4 linked regions of the Pelodiscus sinensis genome follow. The protein of the gene in region 2 interacts with the protein of the main gene of each other region in a pairwise test. Links are inferred from orthologs where the notes say so. Each region holds a gene or a part of one and is shown on either strand. Other genes may lie near its edges.

What was found.
Region 1: the proteins of ENKD1 (region 2) and UBXN11 interact in binary tests that used the Homo sapiens proteins (3 or more experiments, as listed by UniProt). The two-hybrid records come from large-scale screens. The link is inferred for Pelodiscus sinensis from reciprocal best matches to the Homo sapiens genes ENKD1 and UBXN11.
Region 3: the proteins of ENKD1 (region 2) and BEGAIN interact in binary tests that used the Homo sapiens proteins (3 or more experiments, as listed by UniProt). The two-hybrid records come from large-scale screens. The link is inferred for Pelodiscus sinensis from reciprocal best matches to the Homo sapiens genes ENKD1 and BEGAIN.
Region 4: the proteins of ENKD1 (region 2) and MIPOL1 interact in binary tests that used the Homo sapiens proteins (3 or more experiments, as listed by UniProt). The two-hybrid records come from large-scale screens. The link is inferred for Pelodiscus sinensis from reciprocal best matches to the Homo sapiens genes ENKD1 and MIPOL1.

Annotation. Positions count from the first base shown.
Region 1 is NC_134735.1:1,833,182-1,840,848, forward strand, and holds the start of UBXN11 (UBX domain-containing protein 11), read right to left. Parts: upstream 3,006-7,667; 5' UTR 2,974-3,005; coding exon of another isoform or gene 2,939-2,973; intron 1,618-2,938; 5' UTR 1,592-1,617; coding exon 1,527-1,591; intron 1,151-1,526; exon of another isoform or gene 939-1,150; intron 816-938; coding exon 778-815; intron 1-777. UniProt on the Homo sapiens protein: May be involved in the reorganization of actin cytoskeleton mediated by RND1, RND2 and RND3. Promotes RHOA activation mediated by GNA12 and GNA13.
Region 2 is NC_134722.1:46,626,277-46,633,882, forward strand, and holds the start of ENKD1 (enkurin domain-containing protein 1), read right to left. Parts: upstream 3,003-7,606; 5' UTR 2,291-3,002; intron 2,058-2,290; 5' UTR 2,040-2,057; coding exon 1,955-2,039; intron 1,610-1,954; coding exon 1,394-1,609; intron 686-1,393; coding exon 513-685; intron 161-512; coding exon 1-160. UniProt on the Homo sapiens protein: Microtubule-binding protein which regulates microtubule organization and stability. Promotes the stability of astral microtubules and facilitates the proper orientation of the mitotic spindle.
Region 3 is NC_134714.1:23,664,534-23,672,258, forward strand, and holds the start of BEGAIN (brain-enriched guanylate kinase-associated protein), read left to right. Parts: upstream 1-4,724; 5' UTR 4,725-4,810; intron 4,811-7,725. UniProt on the Homo sapiens protein: May sustain the structure of the postsynaptic density (PSD).
Region 4 is NC_134714.1:46,601,377-46,609,299, reverse strand, and holds the start of MIPOL1 (mirror-image polydactyly gene 1 protein), read left to right. Parts: upstream 1-4,913; 5' UTR 4,914-5,151; intron 5,152-7,834; 5' UTR 7,835-7,868; intron 7,869-7,923.

The sequences.
Region 1 (7,667 bases), on a different chromosome or scaffold from region 2:
AGGCCTTGGTTCACATAAAAAGTATCCCGCACAGGGGTGGAAAAGATTAGAGAGAACATTGGCAGGGATGTATCTTTAGGGAAGGAGAGGGTGGGGTACGAAGTGTGACATGGTCCCATTCGTCCACCCAAAGACTTCCAAAGCGATGATTACGAAGCATAGAGAGAGAGTACAGTACTCAAAAGATAATACAGTCCACGCTGTGAGGAGGGTCCACTCTAAACAGACAAAGATCAAACACAAAACTGTACTGGGAGACAGAGACCATGGCGCTAGGTTCCAGCAGCTTTTGCTGGGGGTGAGAGGGGAGAGCAGTGGAACTGAATTTGTTTCAGAAAAAAAGAGACGGCAGCCAGGATTAGTGTTTGTGGCCTTGCAAACCCATCCAGAGTCCATGTAGCAAAGCCACAAGACAGCGGTGCAAAAAGAGAGAACTAGAAAGCTTAATGTTTTTCAAAGACAAAACTGTTCTAGTTCTCTCTCATATCATATTGATTTTAAAAATCTTATTTATGTTACTTGTAATTTTGTTAACGTTAATGAGAGGGATTGGTGTGCCAAGTGTGGGAAGAATGAGGGAAGCAGCTAGCTTTGGAATTGTAAAGCATTTGAGAGAGTCTGCATGTTCTAACAAATCCTGGGATTGGGAAAACTAGCTCTTACTAAGCTGATTTCTGACACATGCGGGAAGGAGAGAGAAATCAAGGACAAGAAAAGAACTAAGCACATAACACTTAAATGCAAAACACATAAAGGAAAGAGAGAGGCCTTACTTACCATTGTGGGCACTCAGTTTAAACGAGAGAGTCCTTTTCCTGCATGTAAGAATAGGGAATACAGAAAACAAACAGCAGACCGATTAATTAGCTGCTGCATAATTGGTTTTAGGTATCAGAGACTTGTAAATTACATAAAAAATAATCTTGAAATACATCCACCTCTACTTTCTCCCCAGTTCACCACACAGATAAATCAAACAAGCCCCCACTTTGCTGTCTGTGATGAGTGAGCTCACACACAAACAACATATTTGGAGTTGCTTAACAGTAATTAAGATCACTGGAAGCTACTTCATATAAGGAAAAAGTGAAAAGAAGACAAACAACAAACTCGGCCAACTGTTGCTACGCAGAATTGTGCAATAGTCTTTCTGGCCTCAACTGGGGACCAGCTTGTGCCTCAAGGCCATAGAACCAAGAGCCCCGGGTAATTCTTGCTATCGTAACTGCAGAGACTGCTCTGGATCACTTAGGGCCTCACCGTGGAATCAGGGCTCACAGCTGGAATCAGGATGGCACAATTCTGGATTTTAGGGCTCAATTCTGCAAGGTGCGGAGTGACTCCAGAGTGGTACTGACTGTCGTTACCTTGTACTTACTTCAATGGGACCCAGAATATTGAAAGATCAAGACCAAAGAAGAACCCTCGTATAGCGTGAGGACAAAAGCAGCTGGGATCAAAACTGCACAACTAAGCAAGGGTGGCCACAAATCTTAAAGCAGAAAGAGCCCTCATGTCTCATTTACCCTGGACTCTGTAGCTGCAGTGGGACTCTGCGGTGCTTTCCCAGGGAGGAAAGAGGAGAACTCATGGTTATACCTTAGACAGCTCTAGATCCTAGGGAACAAAGACAGTGTTACAATGCCAGGCGGCGGGATGACACAGAGTGAAGTGCCTTGGGAGAGAAGACTGAGGGGCACGTTGAAAAGCAGACGGCTCCAGGGTGTATTTTATCACCACACACTTAGCGGTTTCCTTCAGAGCAGGGTGGTTGAGCAGACCAAGGAGTTTAGCATGTCATACAGAGCTCATGAGGCTTGGCTGGGTAGACTTCGGAGCTGAGGCTGGAGCCAAAGCTCTGGGATCCTCCCACCATGCAGGGTCCTGCAGCCCAAGCCCAGAAATCTTCTCAGCCATGAAACAGCCCCACAGCCCGAGCCCCAGGAGCCCAAGTCAGATGGCATGGGCTAGCAGCAGGTTTGTCTCTGCTGAGTAGACAGGCCCATAGAAACAACGCTCAGGTATTTCATTCTGGGCCCTGTGGTCTCCACACAGGCGGCAGCCTCCAGGGGAAAAAGGAGGGTGACCACAGTCTGCACCATTTCATGCCAGAAAGTCTCAGGGGGTTAGTCTGTCACTGAAAATACAGAAAACGAGGACGGGTCCCACGGCCCTCAGACAAAGTCTGCCGCTTCCCTCGGGCTGCTCTGGCGGGACAAACTCACGACCTTCTGCCATCACCCTACGACATCACCCCACTCCGGCACGCAAGCGCAATGACATCGCAAACGCCCACAGTGCGACAGGAGGCCTCCCGCCGCCCTGCGCTGACATCCCCGCCCCAGCCTGGAAACACAGCGACAGCCAAAAGCACCCCAGGCACAGCAGTGACCCCCACAATGCCCCCCATGCAAGGCAGTGACCCCCTCAGGTACCCCCCATGCAAGGCAGTGACCCCCCCAGGTACCCCCATGCAAGGCAGTGACCCCCCAGGCACCCCCATGCAAGGCAGTGACCCCCCCAGGTACCCCCATGCAAGGCAGTGACCCCCCAGGTACCCCCATGCAAGGCAGTGACCCCCTCAGGTACCCCCCATGCAAGGCAGTGACCCCCCCCCCAGGTACCCCCATGCAAGGCAGTGACCCCCCCCAGGTACTCCCCAGCACAGTGGTGACCCCCCCAGGTACTCCCCATGCAAGGCAGTGACCCCCCCAGGTACTCCCCAGCACAGTGGTGACCCCCCCAGGCACCCCCATGCAAGGCAGTGACCCCCCCCAGGTACTCCCCAGGCACAGCGGTGACCCCCCGGCACCCCGCAGTGACGTCACAAGGCCTCACGGCGCAAGCCGACGGGCCCGGCCGGGGGGGTCTGTGGCTCGCTGCCCCCACGGGCGGGAGGGACGCGCCGCAGCCCGCCTCGGGCTAGTAACGGACTCACCCTCCCCCCGGCGGGCTCGACCCAGGCGACGCCATTTTGTTTGCCGCGGTTGCCCCGGTGACGGCCGGGCGAGCTGATTGGCTCGTTTAAGGTCACGTGGCTCGACCCCTTCTGAAAAGACTACCAGTCCCAGCATGCAACGCGCTCGGTTTTCTCTCTCTCTCTCTCTCTCTCTCTCTCTGACCTTTCCCCATCCGCCCCCCCGACCTTCCCGGGCCCTTGGTGGGACAAGGCGGGGCTCGGGGCTCCCCCTAACGGGCAGTAGCTGTGGGGACCCCCAAGGGGGAGGGAGGGGTAACCCCCCCAGCTCAGCCCTCCCCCCCAGCACTCGCAGGGCAGGCACGGCCGATAGCCCCGAGGCGCCACTGCCTGCTCTGCACAGGGGTCTTCCTGCCGTCCCAGAGCCCCAAATCATCGGTAACTGCCATCGGTAACCGACATCGGTAACCGACATCGGTAACTGCCATCGGTAACCGACATCGGTAACCGCCATCGGTAACCGCCATCGGTAACCGCCATCGGTAACCGTCATCGGTAACCGCCATCGGTAACCGACATCGGTAACTGCCATCGGTAACTGTCATCGGTAACCGCCATCGGTAACCGCCATCGGTAACCGACATCGGTAACTGTCATCGGTAACAGACATCGGTAACTGCCATCAGTAACTGCCATCGGTAACCGCCATCGGTAACCGACATCGGTAACTGCCATCGTAACTGTCATCAGTAACCAACATTGGTAACTGCCATCGGTAACCGACATCGGTAACTGTCATTGGTAACAGACATCGGTAACTGCCATCAGTAACCGCCATCGGTAACCGCCATCGGTAACCGCCATCGGTAACTGTCATCGGTAACCGTCATCGGTAACTGTCATCGGTAACCACCATCGGTAACTGTCATCGGTAACCGACATCGGTAACTGCCATCAGTAACTGTCATCGGTAACCAACATCGGTAACCGTCATCGGTAACCGCCATCGGTAACTGTCATTGGTAACCGACATCAGTAACCGACATCGGTAATTGTCATCGGTAACCGACATTGGTAACTGCCACCAGTAACTGCCATTGGTAACCGACATTGGTAACTGCCATTGGTAACCGACATTGGTAACCGTCATTGGTAACTGCCATTGGTAATCGACAATGGTAACTATCATCAGTAACCGCCATCGGTAACCTCCATTGGTAACTGCCATCGGTAAGCATCATTGGTAAACATCATCAGTAACAGACATCAGTAACTGCTCCACAGACATGCCTGGCAAGAAGGATAACTCTGTCCCCCTACTGCCCGAGAACTTATTCTTTGCCTTCGGAAGGTTGACTTTGAATAGTCTGGCATGATGTGGACAATGTGAGTTTTAATGACTGTTCTACTCAATGTCAACAGTAATTAAATTCTTGGTCTGAACAGCCCCCAACCATTTTCCACAACCATGAACACTGAAATAGAGTCAAAGTCTCGGGGGTTGCCGAGTGGAGAGAAAAGGGAGGACTCTCAAAATGTATAACAGAAAAAGGGGGGAGTACCTGTCAATTGTAGTGCCGGTGCTAATGAGGCTAATATGGAAAGATACTTTCAAATAAATTTGATATTTGTCCAAATTATACAAAAAATACAAATCAAATTCTGCCAAGCCTGCGCAGAGGGGAGGCATGCAAGACGAGAGAAGGTTCTTCCACTGCTCCAGCTTGTGTTGCCTTGTTCCCCAGGAGAGGAGTCCCTCTGTTGTGCATTTCCCTAATGCACATACTTCCAGACCAACAAAAGAGCGATTCCTCCTCTCTCTCAGCCCCAGACATATCCCCACGTTTGGAAGGGTCTCTTGGGCTCTATGCTCCACCATCTTGTCTGCAGCGGTTGCCCTGGTTACAACTAGGCGCAACTTCCCATGCAAAACCAGTGCTGCACATCAGCGGAAAACCATCCACCTGCCTTGCTACTGGCTCTGTATAAAATGCAAAGGGGGTGTGAGTTACTGAACAGACGGTGACAGTCCCTGAAGCAAGGACCCCATGCGTGCAGCCCCCAGCTCTGGCACCCCTTCTTCCCACCACTGCCCCCCCGATCTCCACATTCACCTCCACTGGGATCACTTCTCCCTCCAACTGCCCCCCCATATTACTGCCCCCCCACTGCATGTGTCCCACTAGCTGCCTTCCCCAAAGAGCCCATTGCACCTACCCATCCACTGCCCCTCCCCCCACTACATATTATTATATCTGCCTAAAGGGATGAAGCCTGAGGGAATCCCTGGCCTCTGGGGACAGATCAAGTGCTAGGAGGCCTTAACCCCGCCTCCCATTAAAGGAGCAGTCCCTGAGGGATCCCCCGATGGGATATAAGAGGATGGATGAGGCATAACCCCCTTGTTAATGGGGCCAGTGTGTCCCCATCCCGACACACAGTGGCAGGGAAACAACAGTCCCCCCTCTATAGTCGGGCACTGAGAGGGGAAGCGACTTGCCCCAGGAAATGGCACACGGCAGAGCCCAGCTCCCCTCTGGGCTAGGCCTGTACTCGAACCGCAGGGTTCAGGCTGGCTCGCCCTTGCAGTGTACTTGGGAGGCTCATGGTTTTGGGATTTTAAAGCCTCAGCACCTGGAGTCACATTGCTCCATGAGGCGCTCTGCATTCCAGTAAGCAGCGTCGCCAGACTCGTGCCTGTGGAGAACAGATGAACTTAAAATCCCACGGCTGTGTTCAGCTTTGTGAACTGATTATGCCGGGTGTTGTCAACACTTTTGCACTCCCACGCTCAGCTGCAAACAGACTTTCTAGTTGTCATTTCATGGTTCCTTCCCTTCTCTCACTTTGTTTTTCTGACCACTTCTTTCTTCCTGTTTTCTCGGATCCGCTGTACCATTTACAAAAACTCTATCAACAAAAGATTTTTAAATATCCAAGGTGGCTGTTGGGTCGTCATCATGCTGTTTCTGGGGAACCCTTCTCGCCCATCTTTTATTGGGCCAAGCTCTGTCGATGGTGCCATGCCGATTGACAATAGCTAGGAATCTTACCTACTTGACCTGCTGATTTTGTGCTAAGAGCTTTAGATTACCACACTCGCGCCTCTCATGGGCTGAGAACTGTCCCCAACAGACTTTCATCTCTACACTTCTGCTTACTGAAATTAGCCAAAAAAGGAGATCTAAAATAGCTACAGCAAAGTCTCCCATTTCTGTTTCTTTCAGATGTTGCCTTTTACTCCTTTCTCTTTCCAGACACTGATATGTTTCATACGCACAAAGAAATCCCACATAAATGGGCCTATTTTATCCCTGCGTCTGGAATATTTTGGCCAATTGCTTTTTTCAAGCTGCCTTAAAAAGGCACAGAAGAGGCTGGCCTAATTCTACTGACACCGGTGTGAATCGGGAGTAACTTCACTGAAGTCAAGGGAGTATAAAACGGGTGAAAACTCCAGGGAAGCTCACTGGATTTGCGTAGTTGCCGCTGAAGGTTACAAGGAAATGTTACTGTGCGATATCTAATCTAATCTAGCATCTTGCTAGCATCCGTTTCTCAGTACAACTGTCCACATTCGGGAGTTAGGAAATGCTTGTCACCATCAGCTGGCTTCAAAGTAGAGCTGTAAAAGTTTTGAAGAGAGAGGGGCCTCGGCCCTGATCAAAGAACCTCTGAGCGTTGTGGACTTGCCAGCTAGATCGGAATTTTGCAGTTGAATCTATTTCTAGTTTTCTGTTGCAGAAGAAGAGGGCTTGTTACCAAACCCAGCATGCAGGCCAAGAGAGCAGAAAGTTTGGCTCAAGTTTGCACACATCCCAGTGAGCCCAGGCTGCTTTATGGCTTTCGGTGAAAACTCCGATTACGATTGTTTGGAGGTTTCTAGAAAAACTTGAGCACGGGAGCGGGGGAACCAAGGCAAAGTACAGATCCACCCCGTCCTCTCCAGGGTGTGAGCCCCAGGTGGCCCTGTGCTTTGGGGACCAAGCACTTCCTGGAATGGAGGGAGACGAGAAGACTGACAAGCTGGCCTGTGATCGGGGGTCCTTGCAGAACTCCCACCCCAGCTGCCAAACTCTCCTGCAACCCCTTCCGGCAGCTTCAAGAGAGTCAACCCAAGCCCGTTGTGATGCCACAACCCCTCACAATCCTCCCCCCCATACACAGCATCACCACCTCCCCAGGAACCAACTCCATTAACCGCCAGTCCAGATGTGCAGTTTACAATCTGTCCGCCTCAGCCCCCTGGCATCAAAACCCCTGGCTCGTTTCGGTCGGGGTTGGAGAATTGCCCATACAGAGAGGCTGTGGTTTTACCAGTGCAGCTGTCTGGTTTGCTGTTGTGTTGGGGTAGGGGCTGGATGGGGGGGGAGGGGGTGATCAGTGGTATGATGAGCATAGTGTCAGCAAAGCCATGCTGAACAGCCGCCCAAGTGCTAGCAGTGTCTAGGCGTGGCAGGGAGCTTGCAAGGTTTGATTGGCAGATGCTCTGCTACAGGCACACTTAGAGCTTCTGCTTGTGTGCTAGGGCAGGCAGAAGACGACGCTTCCTTGCACAAGTAGCATCTCAGTCACTGAGCTTTACCATGAAGACTGTCCTGCTTTTCACCGCTCTTCTCCTGATGAGTCTGGCAGCTGTCACCGCACAGAAAAAGGTAGGACCAGCCCTAACGGTCTGGGTGGAGACCAGATTCCACTGGCCCCACGGCTGGGGCAGCTGAGCCCAAATCAGCTACATGGGACTGGGTTC
Region 2 (7,606 bases):
TGGCGTCTGCGCCCTGCACTCCTGCAGCTGCTGCGTCTGGCACTGCTCTGGACATGGCAGGGCTGGGCGACAGCGACCGGCGCGGCTGGACCCCGGAGCCGCAGCGGGAATATGCCCTCAGGAAGTTCTGAGACTCTGGGTTGGGCGGGGGAGAGCTCTCCTGCGAAAGGCAAACCACATAGCAGGAGCTCCAGGGCCGAGGGGCGACCCCAGACTCTACCGCTGCACGTGCGGGGAACGTCTCCTCCAGGCAGGAGTCAGGCAGGGAACTCAGCTGGCAGGGGAGACACGACCCTGCCTGGGGAAATCTCCACTGCGTTCAATGGAGCGACACTGTAGCACGAGAGAGGAATCCATGGGCGTGCCGGTGCATTTAGCACATCACACACAGTGTGTCGAGTGGCCCCAGCCAGGCCCGGCTTCACGCTGCAGCCGGCCGCGGCAGGGACTAGAATGCCCCCGAGACAAAGGAATTCTCTCTAGTCTTTTTGTGATGCCGCTGTGTGCAGGTACTGCAGTTTGGCCTTCACCTTGGACTCCACATTCTCATACTTCTGGGATTTCCACAGGGCCTTCATGGGTTTGGGCTGGCTGTGCTCCCGCGCCAGCTCCTTCTCCTTGCACCTCCTCTGGATCTCCCGCATCCGCCTCACATTCTCCTTCTCGTGGTCCTTGCACTCGCGCCCTGCACGCCCCGGCGAGACACGGCTTTCACCAGCAGGCCCTGCTGAGCCCCTTGGCACCATGACCAGGGCCTCTCTCAGCGAAGCGGCTCCCTTCACTGCAAACAGCAGCAAGCGGATCCCCTCCCTGTGTGCCAGCCGGATCCCTACCCCCAGAGCCCCTTGTTAGCACACCAAGACACTGGCTTTGCTGGAGTAACTCCAAGAGCAGCTGCTCGAAAACAGCCACCTTTGAGTTAAGACTCACCCGTGGTGGATTCTACCCTCGGGTGGTTGTTCCAAAGGCTAATTACTCTCCCTGGGGACAAATTTATACCTTCCTCCCCAACTCCCTCTGGCTTCATCTTCCAGCCACTGGATTTCCTGCTACACTGACAAGCCCATTTGTTCCCATGTAGGTAACTAGAGACTGCAACCAAGTCACCCTTTAACCTTCCCCTGGGCAGTTCTCAAGTTCTCTGCCTATCCCAGGCACTCCCCAGAGCTGTTCCCATTAGCCACGTACCAGGAAAACCACCTGGGATCTACCTGGCTCTTGGCCTCCATCATATGGCAGGGAGTTCCACAGGCTCACTCCCACGTTTTCCATACGCCAGGCCGGAGTCAGGGTGAGGCCCCACACAAATCCCCATCCTAAACCCTTGCCTCTGCACCAGTTCAAGCCTTCATTCTATCCTGCCCGTCAGCCCCACCTGCTCAATTGCACCTACTTTTCAGGGGCGGCTCCCTGTGGAGAGAGACCCCCTCCAGCTTCAGCAAGATCCCGACTGTCCCCATCTGCCCCTTCTCCAGGATGTCCTGGCCATTGGGGCGGATACGTGGGGGAGGGCGGGCACTGTAACACGTGGGATACAGGCTGGGATCGGGGGCCAGCGGGCCAGAGAGGAAGTCGAGCTTCAAGGCATTTCCTTCCAGCCTCCCTCGAGCTAGAGAGAGACAGCACGAGTCAAGGCATGCGGCACCTCCCCTTTGCTCCCCCCCCGGTGCCCCCACCCTGGATAGAGGGATGTTTAACAGATATTGACATCCCCCCACTTCCTACTCCTCACATCAGCCTCTCCTGGCACTGGAGGCGATGGGAGCTGAGAGCGCTCAGGGCCTCAAAGGAGCCGAGTGTCTCTGCAGGGCCATTCCACACCCTTTGGGGGAGAGCTGCCCCTCCACAGATCCAGGAACTGTGCAGCCAACAGAGGCTAGGGAAGGGAAGGCCTTCACCTGCACTAGCCACCCACGATTATGCAGGACCCCATCCATGCATCGCTGGCTCTCACCTGACAGGGGGCGTTTGTAATAGTCCGGGAAGAGTGTGGGGTCGGGAGGGATGGGCCCCGAGATCCTGGAAGGCCCCTCAGACATCTCGGCCAGGCTCTGCAGCTGCCATGGGGGACAGAAACCAGATAGTGTTTTCTGGGGAACCGTTCCCCAGCCACGGTGAAGATTTTAAATACGTCGGGGCCAGTGCTCTTCGCTGGGGCGACATCCCGCTAGAGAGAACATTGTCACCCTGCAGGCCAAGGGATCCCATCCGTCTAGACATGGATCAAGCTGCAGGCCTCCATGACCAGGGCTGCCCCTCTGCCCCCGAGCGCCCCCGTTTGCTGCAGTACCTGCCGAGCTAGGAGCAGGCAACAGGACGGGTCACTCAGTCAACTGATCTAGTTCTGTTCTTTCCCTCTGACGCACCTGGTATTGGCCACTGTTGGACAATGGGACACTGGGTAGAGAGACCATTGGTCTGAGCCAACATGGCTGTGCTTATAGCATCTCCCCTCACCCGTCTCCCTGCTGGGCTCACACGCTCTTGCCCCAGAGACTCACTCCCTACTCCAAAAATCACAATAAATTGGGCAAGTGGAGCAGCATCAACCCCCTGAGACATCAGGAGAGCTGCAGGTCCACAGGGTCCCTGACCTGCAGCGTTTGGACAGCTCAGCCATTGGGACAGACAGGCCGTCCGTCCGTCCGTCCATCCAGCGGGAAGATCTTTTTCTCCCGCATCTCAGCCCCACTGGGGTGTGATGTACAGGGAGATCACAGCAGCGCACCAGGGAGAAACAGAGCCCTTGATTCCACTTACAAGCTGATGAATTATTGATATGGAGCAGGGATGGGAGGGTCTATGACGCGAACGGCTAATCCGCCTAAGCCTGCCTGTCAGCAGTATGGCTCTTGAGAGAATGAGAACCATTAGCAGACAGCTAATTATCGCCCCCCCACTAGGGGCTACTGCAGAGGGGATAAATGCAGGGACAGTTACAGAGCTGTTCTAGAGCAGCCCCAGCTGTGGATGCTCCTACTCTGGCATCCTGGTCCAGTTCTGCAAGATGAACTTTCTAACCCTTGGCCTGTGGGGTCGGACTGGCAGTCCTGCCCCTCCCAGCAAGGTCTCTCGACCAAGCTAATCCCTAGAAAAACACACCCAGGGATAAATCAGGGATAAGGGATCTTTTGGAAAAGGCTTTATTTTCCGAAAGATCCCCGTCTAGACTGGCGCTTTTTGCCAGCAAAGCCCCGAGCTGGAAAAAAGCGGCAGCCATGTTCATGCAAATGAAGCGGGGGAGATTTAAATCACTGCTTCATTTGCAATTGCACTGTGTCTAATCTGCATCCCTTTTCCGCAAAAGGGGTGCAGTCTAGACACAGCCGTGGACTTTGGAGGGAGTGTCAAAGCAATCGGAGGGCTGTGATAGCAGCAGCCGGCTCCCGAGGGAACTCAAAGACCCACCGCAGACTAGCCAAGCTTCCCCTTTCTATTCTCTTGCCGCAGGGTTAGAGCACATGGAGTATTTGCTGCCTGGCCTAGCCGCGCAACCAGGCTTCCAAAGGAGGCCGGGTGACTTCCCCACCTGGAGCGCGGGATGGGCTGGCAGCAGATCAGAGAGAAGGGCCCATGTGGGGCTGCTGGCATTAGCCCTCCCCCTGGGAGAGGCAGGGCAGCTTCAGAGCCAGCGGGGAGGGCACTGTATCGCACAGGAAGCCAAGCCTGCACCCATCCACCTCAGGGGCAGAAATTTCCCCAGCTTCATGGAAAGCAGGAGCAGGCCCCAGGCCGTCAGAAAGCAGCTCAGGGAAGGGGGATGAGCGTGGAGCCTAGGGAGGATAAGCAATTAGGAGAGGTGGGGCCCCTGCCAGGGGGCCCTCTCCCACCCCTTTCGGTGTCCAAGCGGCCCCCCCGCCCCTCCCAGCACAGCGCCCCCCCACAGCGCGGCCCCCCCGCCCCTCCCAGCACAGCCCCCCCCCCACAGCGCGGCCCCCCCGCCCCTCCCAGCACAGCCCCCCCCACAGCGCAGCCCCCCCCCACAGCGCGGCCCCCCCCGCCCCTCACAGCACAGCGCCCCCCCCCCACAGCGCGGCCCCCCCGCCCCTCCCAGCACAGCGCCCCCCCACAGCGCAGCCCCCCCGCCCCCTCCCAGCACAGCGCCCCCCCCACAGCGCGGCCCCCCCGCCCCTCACAGCACAGCGCCCCCCCCACAGCGCGGCCCCCCCGCCCCTCACAGCACAGCGCCCCCCCCACAGCGCGGCCCCCCCCGCCCCTCCCAGCACAGCCCCCCCCCCACAGCGCGGCCCCCCCGCCCCTCACAGCACAGCCCCCCCCCCCCACAGCGCGGCCCCCCCGCCCCTCCCAGCACAGCCCCCCCCCCCACAGCGCGGCCCCCCCGCCCCTCCCAGCACAGCGCCCCCCCACAGCGCGGCCCCCCCCGCCCCTCACAGCACAGCCCCCCCCCCACAGCGCGGCCCCCCCCGCCCCTCACAGCACAGCCCCCCCCCCACAGCGCGGCCCCCCCGCCCCTCCCAGCACAGCCCCCCCCCCACAGCGCGGCCCCCCCGCCCCTCCCAGCACAGCGCCCCCACAGCGCGGCCCCCCCGCCCCTCCCAGCACAGCGCCCACCCCCCACAGCGCGGCCCCCCCCGCCCCTCACAGCACAGCCCCCCCCACAGCGCGGCCCCCCCGCCCCTCACAGCACAGCCCCCCCCACAGCGCGGCCCCCCCCGCCCCTCACAGCGCCCCCCCCCCCACAGCGCGGCCCCCCCCGCCCCTCACAGCACAGCCCCCCCCCACAGCGCGGCCCCCCCGCCCCTCACAGCACAGCCCCCCCCCACAGCGCGGCCCCCCCGCCCCTCACAGCGCGCCCCCCCCACAGCCCGGCTCCCCCGCCCCTCACAGCGCGCCCCCCCCACAGCCCGGCTCCCCCGCCCCCCGCAGCGCGGCCCCCCCCGCCCCTCCCAGCGCGGGGTCCACACAGCGCCCCCGGCACTGACCCGCTCGCGCTCTCCGGCGGTTAAAGGCCCGGCCCCCGCTTCTCCTAGCAACAGCGTCACCTACGCTTCCGGCCGCGGGGGCTGCTGGGAGCTGTAGTTCGCCCGCTCCCGCAGCGCCCCCTGCCGGCCGCGCCGACACCCGGCATGGGCCGATCCGGCGAGAGTGGGCCGGGCGTGACCCCTCCCATTGCCATATCCCCCCCGTTGCACGTCACAGTCGCCCAGATCGTTCCATGCTCCGCCCCCCCAATTCTGTGTCACGCTCCCCCCCAGGGAGTTCTGTGCCCCCCCAATTCTGAGCCACCCGCCACCAGCTCCGTGTCACGCTGCCCCCCCCAGCCCCATGCCAGGCCCTGATTCTTGTAAGGGCCGGCTGCTCCAAAGCTGGCCTCGCCTTGCCCCCTAATGTCCCCAGGGCCGCTGAGTACCCGGCCGGGCCCACACATCACCCCTTCCTTGGTCTCAACGCTGCCCCTGCACTGCTGGCTCAGTGTTTTGTCCAGGGGATTATTTGCACAATTATTTGTACAATTGTAGGGGTCGAAATTGAACCAAAGCTTGGGCTGAAAATTTCCCCCCAAATGTGTGCTCGGGGCGGGAGGAAAGCTGTCCTGGGAGCCGGGCTCCATTGCCCCTGCAGGGAAGTGACCCTCCCTCCAACTGAGGTTCCTCCCCAGCCCGGGAGGTCACCCTGAGTCCCGTTGCTGCTCCAGCCAGCGTGTGGAATCCACCTGGGGCAGGCCAACTCCCCGCTAGCCCGCGGAGGCCAGGCTGGTGCTCTGGGACAGGCATCCCCTGGCACAATACCCAACACCCTGCAGCTGTGGGCTCTCTCTGTCCGCGGCCCATTGTGCGGGGTGCCCGGGAATCAGAGGTAGGAGGTAAAACAGGGAACAGCGCGGTCCAGCTCCAACACAGCCTCAGGGCCGTGGTGTCAATGCACGGGGAGGGAGGAGGCCGAGGCACCGCGGAAAATGACCCCAGGTGTGGGCCACAGAGCACTGGCCCCGAGGACCCCATTCCAGACCATGCCCCAGACTCGCCACGTGGCCTTTGTCGTGGTCCAGCGCCACGCCGTGCCTCGGTTTCCCCAGCGGTGGAACAGGGCTCACGTGGGCGAGGGATCAAGCGCTCTGGCAAAGCACTGGGGTGGAGGGTTCGCTATCTGCCTGCAGGCAGCACCGCTGACCCCTGGGCCACTCGTTAGGGGGTAAGTGCTTCACTAGCTGGAGGCCAGGTGAGTTCCCAGCATGCCTCGGGACCAAACCCAACGTACCTTGCTGAAGTTCTGGGAGACCAGCAGAGAAACGGCGTCGGGAACACGAACCAGCCGCTGGCTCCTCCCTGGGTCTCCGCGCTGCTAAAGGCAACAAGCAGCCTCTTAATTGTTTTATATTAATTACTTCAAGCCCCTCACTTGGGCATTGGGAGGCTGAAGGAGCTGGTGCCCAGAAGATGCAAAGTGCAGCTCTCCCCCCCTCCGCCCCCCCCCCCCCCCCCCGCTTGGTGTTGCAGGGAGGCAGGGGGAGGGGAAGCAGACGGCCCCATTGCTGATTTGAAGGGAGCGGGGCAGACACACACTAGCTGCCTGGCTCCTTCCTACCCCCAGCACAGCAGAGGCTGCGCCCTCGTTCCCCTCACCCACCAAATCCCTGCTTGGTTCCTGGGGCTCTTAGAGCCATTCCCACTAGCTGCTCTGCCCCACGGGGGGAGGCTGGCAGGCCCCTTCTGCTCTCTCCACCCTCCTTGGGGGAGCGACCCTGGAGCCCTGACGGCTGGGCCCGGGCACAGGCCGCTGGGCAATTCACAGCCAGAAAGGGGCAGGCATGGGTGTCTGACCGAACACGGCAGTTCTGGCCTGGGGCGCTTCCACGGTAGCCGCAGTCATGCACAACGCCCACCGGCTGCAGGTAGGAAGGTGCCAGGCCAGACGGGCAGCAGGAGGGAAGGTGCCAGGTCGGATGCCCACCGGCTGCAGGGAAATGTGCCAGGCTGGACGGGCTGCAGGGGGGGAAGGTGCCAGGTCGGATGCCCACCGGCTGCAGGGAAATGTGCCAGGCTGGATGGGCTGCAGGGGAGGAAGGTGCCAGGTCGGATGCCCACCGGCTGCAGGGAAATGTGCCAGGCTGGATGGGCTGCAGGGGAGGAAGGTGCCAGGTCGGATGCCCACTGGCTGCAGGGAAATGTGCCAGGCTGGATGGGCTGCAGGGGAGGAAGGTGCCAGGTCGGATGCCCACCGGCTCCAGGGAAATGTGCCAGGCTGGATGGGCTGCAGGGGGGGAAGGTGCCAGGCTAGATGCCCGCTGGCTGCAGGAGAAGGCACCAGGCCAGATGCCCGCCGACTGCAGGAGAAGGTGCCAGGCTGGACAGGCTGCAGGGGGGAAGGTGCCAGGTCGGACACCTGCCGGTTGCCTGGGGGAAGCCCCGCAGTGTCCGGTTTCTGGAGCCTATGAAGCCTGCAGGCATGAAACCAGCGGGGCCCCATTGAGGAGGAAGGGGACGCGACGGTCCCGGGGACCGTGCCGAGCGAGCCTGAGGGGACCGTGGCGATGGGGCAGAGGGAAACGCGGGGGAACCAATGGCTCGCAGGGCACTGGCGGGGGGAAGGGCTGCTGGAGCGCACCGGGAGGCTGCCTGGGGCCCGGCTGCCACCGTCGCCCCCT
Region 3 (7,725 bases), on a different chromosome or scaffold from region 2:
AGATCGCTTTTTCAATGCGCTTTGGCAGTGTGGGTGCTCTTTTTCAGAAGAAATTTTTTCACATGATCTCTTCTGGAAACGCTTCTTCCAAAAGAAGCCTCCAGTCTAGACATAGCCAGAATCTCCCAAATCCCTTCCCCATCAGTTCTGGGTTTATATTCCCTGCCTCTCAGCTGTGTTCTGTGGAGGCCATGCCATTCTTGACATTTGTACTGTCTGAACTCTGAGAAAAGAAGCAGGGATTTTTACAGGTCTCTCTGGTTCTGTGGGACATTTAGTGCCAGTATGGTTGTAGAGGCAAGTATCATTGTATGATCCTCACTTTCATTTCCTTTTATATTACTGATTATGCCTTTTCACAAAGGCCTTATTACAAGAATCATAACACCGTACCTTCCATGATCTTCTCTCCTTCATGTCAGTAAGAGGTGCTGCAATGGTGGCAAAGTTTGGCCTTAATCACCCTGTGTTACCTTACCAATCCCAGGAACTGTCTAATGTGCTTCAGGTGATAAAAAGTGCCTCCCTATTCTGCCTGTCCTTGAGTAAATAGATTTGTGTTTTTCTCCTTTTCCTGGAGTATCATATCTCATAATCTATGGGGCCCAGCTGGCACAGTACCTCAAAAATCCCTTGTCATTGTGCTAGTAGTGTGGTTGGGAGCTCACCAATATTAGCTAATAGTCTAAATCCGGAGAACACCAGTGCTATCACCTCCTTTCCTTTCCCCCCCTCTACTTGGACCACTTTCTTAATGGGCCCTTCTTGCATGACCTAACCTCTGCAGTCCATGCTTCCCCCAGTCACATTACATGCAGGGACAAACAGTCTCTCCAGCAAAGCCCAAAGCAGAAGTGCATCCTCCAGTGCTCTCTCCAACATCTGCACTATTGGGTGGGAAGCCCAAAGCACTCAGATAGGTTCATAGATGTCTGAAGCATGTATTCACCATTGTCTGTCCCAAATTTTCCTGCAAATAATAAGGCATTGAGACAGTGCATTGTGTGATGCAGGCCAGTCTTATGCAGCGTCCAGTTATGTACCTGTAGATCTGCATATACAAAATAGAGACTGCAGTGAAACCTCTTTCAAATTCAGGAACTTGATTTGTACTCCAATGGAGGGGTTTTTTTTCCAGTCACCACGTGATAAGAATGTGAGCACAGAAGAAATTTCCTAAGTGTTGGTGTTTATAAAGTAATTGCACATATGTAATTAATTAAGAGTGGTCTGGATAATCACTGCAAGAAGGCGAAGTCAGAAACAGTTAAATATAAGATTGGCAGCTCACTAAAAAAGCACTCAAAACAAATGTTCAATGAAAGTTAGACATTTCTCCTTGCTTCCTTTTTTAATTTTCATCTTTGTCTAACCTGTAAAATAGAGTGATGAAGAAAAATCCACTGACCCCCCAAGCTGTCCCTTATCTTTACATCCTCAGATGTTTGCACACACACGATCCATAAGAGTCCAAACTGAGAGAAAACAAAACTTCTCAGAGGCAGTGAGCCTTGCTCTTTTTATAAACCCTCTTACTGTCGATTAAGTACTATGCCCATCTCCAACTCAACTGAGCATGGAAACAAGGTATATATGCTGGCAAAGGGGCATGTATACACTTCTGCTCAGCTAAGACAGGCATACCCTGATTTTGGGTCTGGTACAGAACCAGCCTATGTGTCTTGAGTACTTCCTTCTTTCAGCAAAGTAGTGGAGAGGGGACATTTTTGTGACTCCACCTCCTTGCTGGCCAGACTAGGTGTCCATGAATGTTCAGAGAAGGGAGGAAAAGAATACAAACTACGCCATTTCAAAGGTGTCTGTAATTTATCTGATTTCCCTTCTTGCTCCTCAGTCCTCTCTCCCTTTCAGAACAAGAGAAGTGGGGTTCATTTCTGCCTCAGTGCTAGTCAGTCCTGGGATAGAGCACCTTATGTATCACTCCCTGTGCTGGGCTATGCCTAAAGCATCATCTAGTCCCTAAGGGCACATCTACACTAGGAAATTATTTTGAAATAACTTCTGAAATAACTAGTTTGAAATAGCATGTCCACACTATAGGGAAACCTCAAAATTAGTCGGAGGCAGGCTCCCTTCATGTGGACACGCTATCTCGACTTAGAGCTCCAGGAAGGACTGGGGAGTAATTCTTTTGAATGACTCTGGGGAGTAGTTATTTCAAAATAGCAGCAGTGGAGCATCCACACTACCACTATTTTGAAATAACTGTTTCAAAAAAAGGACTATTCCTCGTGGAAAGCAGGAGTTGTTATTTCGAAATAACCAGCCCCTTATTTTGAAATAACAGGCTTGGTAATGTGGATGCTCTGCTTGTTATTTTGAAATAAGGGGAGTTCATTCAAAATAACTCCATAGTGTAGACTACGGCTAATTAATCATGAGATCTCAGAGAAATAGGAAAGTTTGCCAGAGATGTGTTACTGCTGGCTAAGCCATCACACACCAACCTTTGCCTCAAAACAAGAAACATTAGCTGACCTTTTAAAATGATAAACTTCTCTCTATGTTTAATCAGCAGCTGAAACATGAAGATATCTAGAAACTAATAAGCTCTTCTCTAATTTACACTAGAGTATTTAATTTTTCACATTCTAGCATGGTTAGGCATCATTTCAGTTTTTATTCATTAAGATGCTTAGAGTATTGGAATCATACCAGCCCTCATGGCAAGACAGCAAAACGACAGCACTTTCTTCAATCAATTGTTAATTGTGAGCTGCACATAAAATTGTCCTGTGCAATGGTTACATTAGAACATCAGTAAGATTATTCCCTCATCTATGAATCATCTAGATCATTCAGGGTTCTTTTAAAGAACTCTCTCATCAGATTCCTCTGAATGGTGATGCAGAGCTGGCATTTTGATACAGAGCTTAAGACTTGCTTTGCACAATTCTTCAGTTTCAGAAGGGAAATTTTAGTTTTCAATTCCTAGTTAAATGGCAGACTGTGGAATCACTCTACTGCCCACACACTCAAACAATGGATATTAGCAGCAGCAGCAGACATTAGTTAATGTGGGTAAAGTATATAGTAACATCTTTAATGGATACTAGGGGGCTGCGCCCCCTGCTCGCTATATTCATCTAGCCCCCCCCTCTCTCTGTCTGGTTTTGCTTTGCTGAGAGCGCCTGTTGATGCTGATGACAGATGATGTCATTCTGTCCCCTGACAGGAAAAACTTTGAGAGAGAGAGAGAGAGAGAGAGAGATGATAATCTAGAGGGTTTTTCTTAATTATATTATTTATCTTCAGATCGTATAAATCTTTCACCTTTTACTTTGGCAAAGTCCCATTGGACCAAATTCTGTTCTCAGATAGCTCTACATCAATATGGAAGGATTTCACGGACTTGACTGAGCAGAATTTTACTGCGGTGCTCAATGGAAATTATCTGAGGAAGGGCTCAGGACCTCAGGATCTGTCACAAGAATGCTACTGTGGTGATTAGGTGCACTTACATAGCGCTGTTCATCAGAGTATTCAAAGTGCACTGCTTTTGAGATGTAGCTGTTGCCAGATTCACTTTACTGTAACAGCAGAAATAAGCAAGATTGTCCTTTACATCATTGTTCCAGTTCTATTTAGATATCCCCTTTGCAGGGTTATACAGGTGCAGCAATTACATGCTGTTTTGAATATGTATCCCACTACGTATAGAGAAGCCTATAAAACACAAGCTGATGGGTAGTTCTTAAGTACTCAATTATGAACAGTGGAAAGTAGGATATCCTGTACATGTTGTCATTTGCCATGAGATATATTGTAAGCTATATAAACATTCTTGGTTGTTAAATATGAATAGTAATTACGTGAACAAAAATCACAGTCTTTGTTTCCATGCCAAGAATATTAGGCTGCATTAGCAGATATTTAAGGCATGCAGGAGAACAATCCGGACTCAGCTTGTAGGGCCAAAGTCTATAGTTCTTACTCAGATATTACTCAGGAAAAACTCCCATTGACTTTCATAGGAATTTACCTGAATAAGGACTAGAATACTGGGAAATAGCTTGTCTTCACTGCACTGCTTGATGTTAATGTCGGGCAGCGATAAATGGTTGTATAGGAGTTCCTGTTGATGATGTACCTACCTGTTGTCCTTTTGTTGCCTCTGAATCTACTTCTGCTGAGTGTTAATCATGGCTTATGTTGCTTGTTCAGGTTTATTCTCTTTTATGTTTTCCATTTTCACCAAACATGGTACAGCTATTTTTCTTCTGTGGTTGGACACACACAGTACATAGAATGCAGAACTTGAATTTCAGCCCAGTTTTAATTAAAACTATTAAACATACTACTGCCACAATGCACAAAAGTTGGCTCATTTGATATGAAATGTTAATCTGTAATTTGATGTCAAAGTGTGCAACTATAATGATCTAATTACTGAGCAGGTGCTGCTCTAGTGAAGTCAATGGAGATGCACCCATTTAGACCCAGGATGAGTTTGGGCCTACAAATCTTTGTGACCTACAACAGGTCTCACGTAAAATAACCAACAAAGATGTGGGTTGAAACAACATCTTGTGTGTAGATTTAGAATTGCTTTAAGGTAATATAGTTTGAATTTCATTATATTACTTAAATATTCAAATTATGACATAACCTGCTTGTAAGCAGGTTAGCTAGCTAGGTTTCCATGTAGATGCCTTATGAGCCATACCTAGCCATGGTTTATCCTCTATTCATGCTGCAGGGTACGAAATTCCTGGGTGCCAACTTGCCTATGGCAACCTAGAATTCTCCAGGGCAGGCTCGCAAAATCTTCACCTACCCTCTGGGACAGGTAATTAAAAAGTGATGTTTTGTTAAGTTATGTTTTCTTTCCAACTTTCCAAGTGATGTCAGTAACTTGTGCCTTTTCTTCATGTCAGCCTTTAGTTGCTTACACCCCAACTGTACAATATTTCTACATCAGGGAAATAGCTGCAAGATCATTTGACATTATTTTAGGTGATTGTCTCATGGCAGCCTGTAGTAATTACTACCAGTGTGTATAAAAGCTGCAATATTTTCAGATTCTTCCCTACTGTTAGGTTAGGTCTACACTACAGTCCTTTGTCAGAAAAAGCTATACAAATTGCGCACCACAATTTGCGTAACTTTTTCCGATTGCTTTTCCGGAAGAGGCTTTTCTGTATTTGGCCCAGTCTAGATGGGGACAAATGGCAGAAAAGCCTCCTCTTTCGGTGGAGCTCTTATCCCTCATAACGAGGTATACAGGGCTCCCCCAAAGAGCACATTTGATCTTCCACACAAAAAAAAAAAAAAGCGGAAGAGCAAATGCATTCCTTGGATGCAGCGGAGTTTTTCCTAGATACCGATGGTATCCCGGAAAAACCCTGCAGTGTAGTCATAGCCTCAATTAATAGCTTTTATTTTAGTGTGATTATGACAAATACATACAAATTTCATCCATTATTGATGCAACAGTAATATGACCAGATTACATTTTTAAATTGCCAATATTTACATATTTCTAGATCTGGTTTTTTGTGTGTTCTTTTACTCTTTGGTCTCCATGAGTCAGGTTCTCTCAAAGCAACAGATGCATAGATGATTAAAAGATATACTGGGGACAGACTTGCATGGAGCAGTCATGAATAATTTTAGCTTGATGCTTCTACGTAGAACATAGTCTAAAGTAAACTAAACTAATGATGTTTTCCATTTTTTCCCCATGCTTGTCTCTCATTTTCTCCTACTATCTTCATGGATTTCTCCTTTGTTCCTTTTGCTGGTATCCACCTAAAAGTTGCAGGTACCTAGAAGTAATACTGTTCACTCCTAAAAAATTTTAACTGGGACAAATATTCAAAGTGGAAAATTCATAAGACAACAAAATAATGGAAGCTTTCTTCAGAGAAATGTTGTGGTTTCCCACACTTACCAAGCTCTTAGTGCAAGAAAAAATATATCTAGGATTCTTCATATACTTCTTGGCATATCATATATGATAGGGTTTAATGAAGATGGGGGAATAACCATTTAATAAATGGACTTCTATGTTTGGTGAATATGTCAAATACTGGGGAAATGGCTTAAATTACATCACTGCAGAGGACTTCTAATTTTACCATGGTCCAAATATGAGAATAACTTTGCTTCAGGGCATCTCTGCTTCCTGTCCTGGCTAATGCAGACAGACTCTCTGTGCAGGAGCTTGCTGTACAGTATTTTTCACACCCACTGATAAATAGGGCTTCATGGGTTTGCCTGAGCATCTGCTGCCAGATGTTAGCCCTTCTGGAACTGTATGGCAATCCACAGCTTGCTAGCCTGCTTATGGACAGCTATTGACCAGTTCCTTGGTACAAATTCTGGTGAGAAGGAGAGTAGGTTTCCTGCCCCACCTTTTCTTCAGTGTATCTACACAGGAGAAGACAGAATGTAACCCTATTCTGAAAAGCCAATAGAGCTGAGTGTGTAGAATAAACCACCCACTGCTCAACTAATAAGTCATGGATTAGAACTGGGAGAACAGTTTTGAACTGATTTCACAATATGCTGAGCAATGTCAGACTTGCTAGAGGTGTACTCATTTAGATTCTTGCAGAATAGGAAACTTGTCAGTTTGCAAGACCTAAAATAGCACAGTGCAGTATATAAAACAGGGAGGTGAGGTTCAAAATAATGAGCTCATGATGACAGTACGTATCTGATTTGCCATAATAGCAAGTTGATCACCTAGCTGAAAATCATTTGCAAATGTCAGCAAACTGAAGATTCTTTTAAATACTCAGCCACACACATTTCATTCAGGTAACATTGGGGCCATTTCTGCACTCAAGTAAGCTTTTACTACTCCCATTCAACTCAATGAGTATAAAGTATATGTACCTGAGAGCCGCATTAGTTCCTGGGGAATCTGAATTACGTTTACAGGGCATAGATTGTTCAGGCTGAATAGTGTTTTTTAACTCACACTTTCGAGCTTTGGTGTTCTTAGTGTCTACAGACTGGGGATATTTATTATTGTGCTTCCAGAAACCTGGCCCAAAAGTCCCTGTTACTCACCTTCTTTCTCTCAGCATACTGTTTGGGTTATAGAACACAACCATTGGGGCTACATTGAGACTGCATCCCTCTATCGACAGAGAGATGTAGTTTAGGCACATTGAAATTGCTAATGAAGCAGGGATTTAAATATCCCGCACCTCATAAAAGAAACCTTCAATGTTTATGCTAAAACAGTTTTTTTGAAAAAAAGTGGCAGTCTAGACACGAATCTGTTGAAAATAAAGCCTTTTTTGACGCATCCTGTAAACCTCATCTTTTTGAGGAATACAGGATCTGTCGAAAAAGGCTTTATTTTCAACAGATTCGTGTCTAGACTGCCGGGGGGAGGGGGTTCAAAAAAAACCTCTGTTTCGAAACAACCCGGCGGCAATGTTTATACTAATGAGGTGCGGGATATTTAAATCCCTGCTTCATTAGCAATTTCGGTGTGCCTAATCTACATCTCTCTGTCAAAAGAGAGGTATAGTCTAGACACACCCTGGATGACAGAAATTGTAGAATGGTACATAACAGTTCTGGAGCAATTGCCAGTAGATTTTCAATATTTACCAATAGTTATCACCCAAGGCATCTAAAATGTCATGCTATTTCCCAATCTAGGCAACAGCCGTATTATCTCTGATCCCATTCTACAGTAACTGTTGGAAGATGTTTACTTTCTAAAGGTTAGCCCTGTATATT
Region 4 (7,923 bases), on a different chromosome or scaffold from region 2:
ACAAGGAGCCAGGCTTTTGGCCTGCAGTGAATATCACCAACACGGAGGAGTGGTTAAAGTCAATGTGATATTTCTTCTCTTTTTAGCATGATTTTAGAAGACAAGTTTAAGAGGAAACTAGATTTTTTAAGAGAAACAGTTACATTAGAAGACAAAGGCACCAAAGCTTAATTGAGTAATTGTGAATAAAAAAGTGTATAATAGTGAACATTGTAGTCACCCAATAGAAAGAAAAGAACTGATGACTGGAGATACTTGGGCTATGTCTACACTGCCCAGTCTTGCGCAAGAACTTGTGCAAGAGCGTGTCCACACTGCCATGTGCTTTTGCGGAAGAGTTGTGCTTTTGTGCAGGAGCATCCATGGCAGTGTGGACGCTGTCTTGTGCAAGAAAGCTCTGATGGCCATTTTAGCCATAGGGCTGTTTTGTGCAAGAAACCCCTGTTGACCGACCACATTGCCTTCTTGCGCAACAGCTCTTTTTTTTATTTGGAGTGATTCTTTGGATGTATAATTTAATAAATATATTTAAAGTAAAAAGTATAATATTTAATAAAAAATTAGCTGTGTCATATGGTGGGGAGATGAAGACTTTAAATTTTGTGAGGTGCCGTGAAACTGGAAAATGCTTTACAGAATTAATGCCTTCATAGAGTTAAAGAATTAGTAACTAAAGAAAAAAATTCAGAGTTACTAGAAATAAAAATATATTTTGCGTTAGAATTAAAGTGTTTCCACCTGCAAACCACGGATTCCCTGTGTGCCTCTCACACACTGGGGCACTGGAGTTCTGCACTTCCCGCTCCTTCCTCTCCCCCTCCCTCCCAGCACTTTCAGAGCACTGCTGTTCAAGCTCTGGGAGGGATGGAGGAGGAGCAGGGTCGGAGCGCAAGTCAGCAGATTCATGGCATTCCAAAAGTGCTGGGAGTGCAGTGGTAGGAGCAGGTAAGTGCAGAGCTGCAGTGCACAAGAGGGACATGGAGGAAGGGGACAGAGTGGGATGTTCACTGACATGGAGGGCCATTCATGCAGCCCACTTACTAATCGTGGTTGCCCATTGCTAGTCTACACTAAAAGTGGCCACAGCACGAGCGCTGAGAGAAATCAGCCCAGGCTCGTATGTAAATCACCTCCACGATGCTCCCAGTGCTATATTCTGGTTCACACTGGCTCTTCACAGTGCTGTAACTTGCTGTGCTTGGAGGTATTTTTTCACACCCCTGAGCCAGAAAATTACAGCACTGTAAAGTGCAATGTAGACTTAGCCTTGGATTTACAAAGGGAACATGAAGAGAAATCAAGTTGGACTATTAAAGTTATCAGAAACCACAATTCATCTAATTTTACCATTTCAGTCTGTTTCTGAGACAAAAAAGCAGGCTCTTTCTAAGCAAAAAAGCAATAATTTTAGACAAGTGACATTTTAAAGAAGATACTTTAGTTGACTGCAAGTAATTATTGTCTGAATTTCTTAGATAAAGAATTTTTCCTCCAGTTGCAGGTCTTTCTGAGAATTTGCCACATCACTCCCAGATGTGTTTTGTTACTTGGAAAATGAGTAGCCAATGCATTATTACTCGGAAGCATAGACCTCAAAACATTTTGTTGTTAGATATTTTCACCAAGCTACAGTACAATTCTGATAAGTTCTTTTGCTGAGCCTCTCTTGTGATAAAGTATTATCAACAAGTTCTGCTGACTGAGAAGATATTCCAGCGCTGTAAGAAAATTTAGCTGTTAATTGCTTACGGCAAAGAATGCAAAACCTGTGATGGTCACTGCACAGTGTATGAACATGTAGAGTATTAATTAAATGTAAAAAAAATGAATTGCTATATGTTGAGATTGTAATTGTACCAAAAAAATCAGGAAATTCAAAATTATTGTTCCACAGCAAACACAGCTTGTTCCCCTTGCACATATCAGGAAACAAATAGTAACTTGAATTGTTTAATATATGTATGTAAAAACTATGAGTAATCATTGTGGTGGGAATCTAGAGTAAATTCCCCTAAGACAATAAACTCTGAATGTGCTGACCTTCAAGTAATTAAAATCTCAACATTGTTTCATTAACATTTACATTAGTTCCCTTGGTTTTGCTCAGTAAGAACATTGCTTGATAAATACCATAAGATCATCAAGCCACCAGTTTTTTAGGTTGTCAAAAACTACTTGAGCATCATTGGTTCTCCATAGATGGAGAATCAGCTATTCAGTATCCCCTTTGATAGCAATGCATACATTGACCAGACATCCTGTTTTTAAAGGTGCAATCCCATATTTAAGTCCTGCAAGTGTCCCAACTTTTTCTTAAAAATGGACACATTATCCTGTATTTTCAGTATCCCACCACCAACAATACTGGCAGCTCCTGCTACTGGCTGGATCCCTGCTTGCCAGCTGCCTGACCATCAGTGAAGTCCAGTGCCTAAGATGGGAGTGGGTGTGCAAGGCAGTGTGGGATAAAGATGCAGCATGGCTGCTCCCCCTGCTGGTCCATCAGCATAGTTCACGCAGAATGTCAGATGTCTGCCAGCAGGGCTCTGTCCCACTTCCTGTCCCATTTCCAGCTGGTACTGGTGGTGAGCTGCTGTGGTTGTGTGCAAGCAGGTACCAGGCAGCAGCTGGTTATGTGTTGCTGCTGCTGCCCACCAACTGGCCTTTTCCAAGTTTCCCCTTTCACTGTTCTCTGCTTTGCCTGCTTTCTCCTGATACTCTTCCATATCTGCAACAGGCGCCATTGCAACAAAACAGGAATTTGTGTATGTCTAAAGAATAAAGTTAAGCTTTAAAATAGCCAAGATGTACATAATTAACACTGAAATGTGTCTGTTGTGGATGCATGTCATCATACCATTCTCTTATGTAAAACATTACTGCTTTAGGAAACCATAAAGTTGATCTACAATTTTAAAATAAAAACAAATCACTGTCACTTTATTACTAGGTAACATGTACCCCAAACACCAATGGTTAAACACTCCTTCAGGTTATTTTCTTTTATAGCATATAGCTTTTCTCGTTTAGCATCTCAAAATACTTCTAAAATGTGTGTGTGTGTGTGTGTGTATACACATATACACACACACACACACATTTATATAATGTATATTTTTATTTATAAACATTTATATAATAAATATAAATAAATAATACTGATCTTCTCAAAATACTAATGGCTGCACCCCCCTAGGCAGATTTCCCAAAGCATTACAAGATTTTATCCTGTGTTCTCATGAACCTTTTCCTCTACTGCTCTTCCTAACACTACATATCTGTTCACCTGGATCTCAGAAGCCTCTTTAAAAGAACTAGCTCAGTAATATTCACATATAGTTTATTTGATCATTTTCTCTGTGAGGGGTTTAGAGTGACCATATTTCTCAAAGTGAAAATGGGATACCACATGGGGCTGATCCACGTCATTTGCCTAAGCCTCTCCTGCCACCATGTGAGGCTGGCCTAAGCTCAAATCCCTTCTCTCCCCACACCTGCCCTTTCTGCTGCCAGAGTGACTTGCCTAAGCCAACTGGTGTGACTGCTAACATGAGCCCATTGTACATGGCTAGTGTCTTCCCTTGCTCTGAATTAGGAGAAGCCTACTCCAATTTTTTGGCAGAACTCAGCATCTGTCCTGTTTGACCTTGCCAACTTATGAGCTGGCAAGATTAAACTGAACAAACGGGGGCCAACAGACATGCTGAGGCCTGGGGCAAGGTGGGGGTGCAGCTCCATGCCCCCAGAAGGGATGTGGCCTCAGGTGCAAGGGACAGGGCTGGGAGCAGCTGGCCTTCAACATAGCCTATGGATCTAGTGCAGTGCACTCCACGCTATGTCTACACTGGCGGGTTGTTCCGCAAGAACATTTTGTGAAGACTTCCTGTGCAAGAAATCTTGAGAAGAACACGTCCACACGGCCATGTGCTTTTGCGCAAGAGATTTGCTTTTGCGCAAGAGCATCCATAGCTGTGTGGACGGTTTCTTGTGCAAGAAAGCTCTGATGGCCATTTTAGCCACATTGCCTTCCTGCACAAGACCTCCTGCGCAAGAAGGCTTACGCCTGTCAGAAAAGAGCGTAGCTGTTATGCAAGAAGCCCTCTCTAACCATGCTGTACTGTAAATCTTGCGAAAGAGCTGGCGGGCAGTGTGGATGCTCTGCGGAAGAACAGCCGTTCTTGCGCACAAGAATCCACCAGTGTAGAAATAGCCAGAGTGATTTAAACAGCCTGGGGCTCCAGCTGCTGTTGCTCCTGTGGTAGTGGCAGTGGTGGCCAAGCGTCCCAAAGCCCAGCAATTCTAAAAACCCTGGGACAATTGCCTCTTTTGCCCCGTCAGCAAGCCTGAAGACAAGTGCCCATTTTTGAAAAAAAAAAAAAAAAAAAAGTCAGAACAGCTAGGCCAGGGCTTACAAAGGGCCTGATACCAAATTATTAGTTGCCTTAGTGATACCATTAGTCAGTGAATAATCACCACTACACGTTCATTATTCAACTAACTTTATTCTTGAAAACAGCTTACGTCAGGGCCCCCATTCTATCCTTTCAGAAACAAGTACAGCAGTCGCTCCCCCTCTCCCTCATTGGAAAAAACACATCAGATTCTTCAAGTCAAAGCAAACCACACCAGCAACACAACAACAAACACAGGGCAGACAAGCACAGGAACTGTTCTCCTCCCCCAAAAGCCTTAGTGTGCTCCAGCCTATTAGCCAACTCCCACGCCTTTGCATCCCTTCCCCCTAAGTTCCCCACCACAGCGCGTCCCAAAGCAGCAAGTCAGTAGCAATCACCCAAATTCCCCCGCTAGAAGCGTCCACCGAAAGCTCCAACCCCCCCCGCTTCGTCGCTCGCTTCGGTGACCAGCTGATCAAATCCCGCCCAGTGTCTAGCTCCGCCTCCCACCCCCGGCTGTGCTGTTTGCTCCTCCTGACCTGCGGGAGCTCGCCTTTGCGCGCTCCCGTGGGCTGTGTGTTTCCTCCCCATCGGTGTCGCCAGGGCGCGCCCGCTGCCCTTGCCCGCCTGCGCTCGGGGCTTTGTTTGTCGGGCCGGGCTGACGGCGCGGGCCGGCGGCAGAGGGGGGCTGTGGGCACGCGCAGAGCAGTGTCTCCTCTTTGGGGTGCGTGGCACAAGCCGTAGGAGGAGGACACAGGTAATTGGCTCCCAGGAGCATTTCACCAGGCAGCTTAATCTGGGGGGCCTGGCGCTGCGTGTGTAGGATTCTTGGAGTTGCTGTGCTGGAGTTAGGATTTGCTCACACGTTGCCTGTGGGGAGACCCTGGGCTGGGCTCCAGTGGGGCATGTGTCTGTTGGATTGTGTGCTGCGAGCAGACCAGGGGGCTGTGTTCACTGCGTCCTGTGCTCAGCAGGACCACGCTCACACACGAGAGGGCTGCACGTGCGCTGTCTTTCCAACAACTCTCTGCCTCTGCTTCCCTGCCCTGCCTTGCCCAGTGCGTTACAGAATTCTGTTTGGGCTGTGGGCACGGGTGGGCCAAGTCAACTGTTTCATAGTGCGCCCGTCACAAAAGATTACTGCTGTCCTTATTAGAGGTAAAGGATATGTGGGCTGTAGCAACTGACCTACTCTCTAACCTCTGGAGGTACTCAGTCCTCCTAGCCGCTTGTGAGGAAACCTGTGTTGTGTCGATTCTGTCCCTGTGAATGCAGGATATCAGTCCCCAGGCGTCTTAATCCAGCCTTCAGATCACCTATATATACAGAGAGAGAGTGGAACCAAAAAAAAGTGACTTGAAGTGTGACATGGTTGTGGAGAGACATTCCAGAAAGTACTAGCTTCATTGGTTAGATATTGGAGGCTCAGAGAGAAGGTCCTTATTCTGAGTATTATGTAACAATTTGCAGGGAGTAGGAGGATGTAAAAGAGCCCTGTGTGCTTATATACCGTCTTTATCTTGATTAGAAGAGATCACTCTGATTCCAAAGGGCCATTAAACTATTCTTCCAGGAGTGAGCTAGATCTGGAAGTAACTCTGGGGCTGGGAGGGTACTGGGACTGGTCAATACAGAATGCGTGAAGTTCCACTGCACCTATATTTTGCAAACTTGCCAGTATATTTTGTAATTTGCGTATAATACTAGTCTCTCCCCACTTTACACAAGAGCATTGTGGGATAGGCCTGTATTACTAAATCTTCATAACTTATACCGCTGTGGTCTCATTCATATTTTATGAAGTTTTAAAATTCAAAATTAAACTAAACCCTAATTGCCAAACCAAGCAATACATTCTGTGATAGTGAGTAACATTAAAAAAAATAAATTTAGTAATGCAGTTCATGCAGATTAGTGAGGTTACACTGAAAGCAAGAAGTGACACACTTTAAGCTCAGGGACAATGATATTGACACTAACAGTCATCACTACTAGTATAGGGACCAGCACTGACTTCACTCTGACAGTCACCCTGGCAGCTGGAAGAGGCAAGCTGTCAAATATACTGGAGAGAGGAGGAGTTAAGTAAGATGTAAATAGAGATCTATAATTTACAGATGGAAAAGGCCTAAAATAATCGGGTATGCAACCCATCTCCTGGCCAACACATGAGTGATTACTATTTTGTATATATTTCTAGTGCTGTGTCTAGTTTAGCTGAAAATGTGTAAGTAATGGGACCACGCTAATAGATCTCACTGCAGAGAAATTTTCCTTGATAAGTCAGACTGAATTTTACCTTTCTAAATTTAATCTGCTATTACTCCCAGCTATCATGCTATATTCTTTCCATGAGTTCTTCTCCGTGCCTGTTTTTTTTTTTTTTAGACCAATCATGTAACTATTTAAAATTACTGCGTCTCAACATAAGATGTGGTGCTGTGAAATTCTGAAATGCATCGTTCAGTGAAGTCTGTGCCAAGCACCATCCATGATTATGCCTTTAATTGTTACTTAGACAATGTATATTTTTAGTTTTCATAAATCCAGAGTTTATAATTTTTATTGCTTTTGCTTGATTTGTTTATTGCTCTTGCCTTCTGCTGCAGGAGGTTGGGAATTTAAATATTTGTCTCAACTGTTACCCATAATTTTATGTAGTCAAATGCATTTGAGTTATATCCCCAGCTCCAGCAGCTCAGAATCACCAGGCTAGGCTGTTCTTGTAGTATTGTATGTGGGTAGGAATCAGTTACATTTGTGGACAAATGACAGCAGTAAAATATATTTCATGGGATCAACCAAAAATACAAAAGCATAGCACATAACACATTAGCTCAAACCTCTGAAGTCTGTGCTGGGGCTTCCTTTCACTTGTGTGGGTTAGCAAACATTTTAAACTCTAAAACCATGGTACGTTCACGTCTTGAATACTGCGTACAAATGTGGTTGCCTCATTTTAAAAAGATGTATTGGCATTGGAAATGGTTCAGAAAAGGGCAACAAAAATGATAAGGAGTTTGGAATGGGTCCCATATGAAGAGAGCTTAAAAAGGCTTGGACTTTTCATCTTAGAAAGAGGAGATTGGGGGGGATATAATAGAGGTCTATAAAATCATGACCGGAATGGAAAAAGTGAATAAGGAAAATTATTTACTTGTTCCCATAACATGAAGTTTTTCTTCATTTAGCACACAGTCAGCCTGTGGAACTCCTTGACAGAGGATGTTGTGACGATCAGGACTTTAACAGGGTTCAAAAACTAGATACGTTCATGGAGGTTAGGTCCATCAATGGCTATTAGCCAGGATGGGTAGGAATGGTGTCTCTAGCCTCTGTTAGTCAGAGACTGGAATGGATGACAGGAGAGCAATTGTGATGATTTCCTTTTGTGTTCATTTCCTTTGGGGCATCTGGCATTGGCTACTGCTGGAAGACAGGATAGTGGGCTTGATGGACCTTTAGTCTGACCAGGTATGGCCATTCTTATGTTCTCATGTTAAAATTAATTTGAAAAATTGATTCTAGA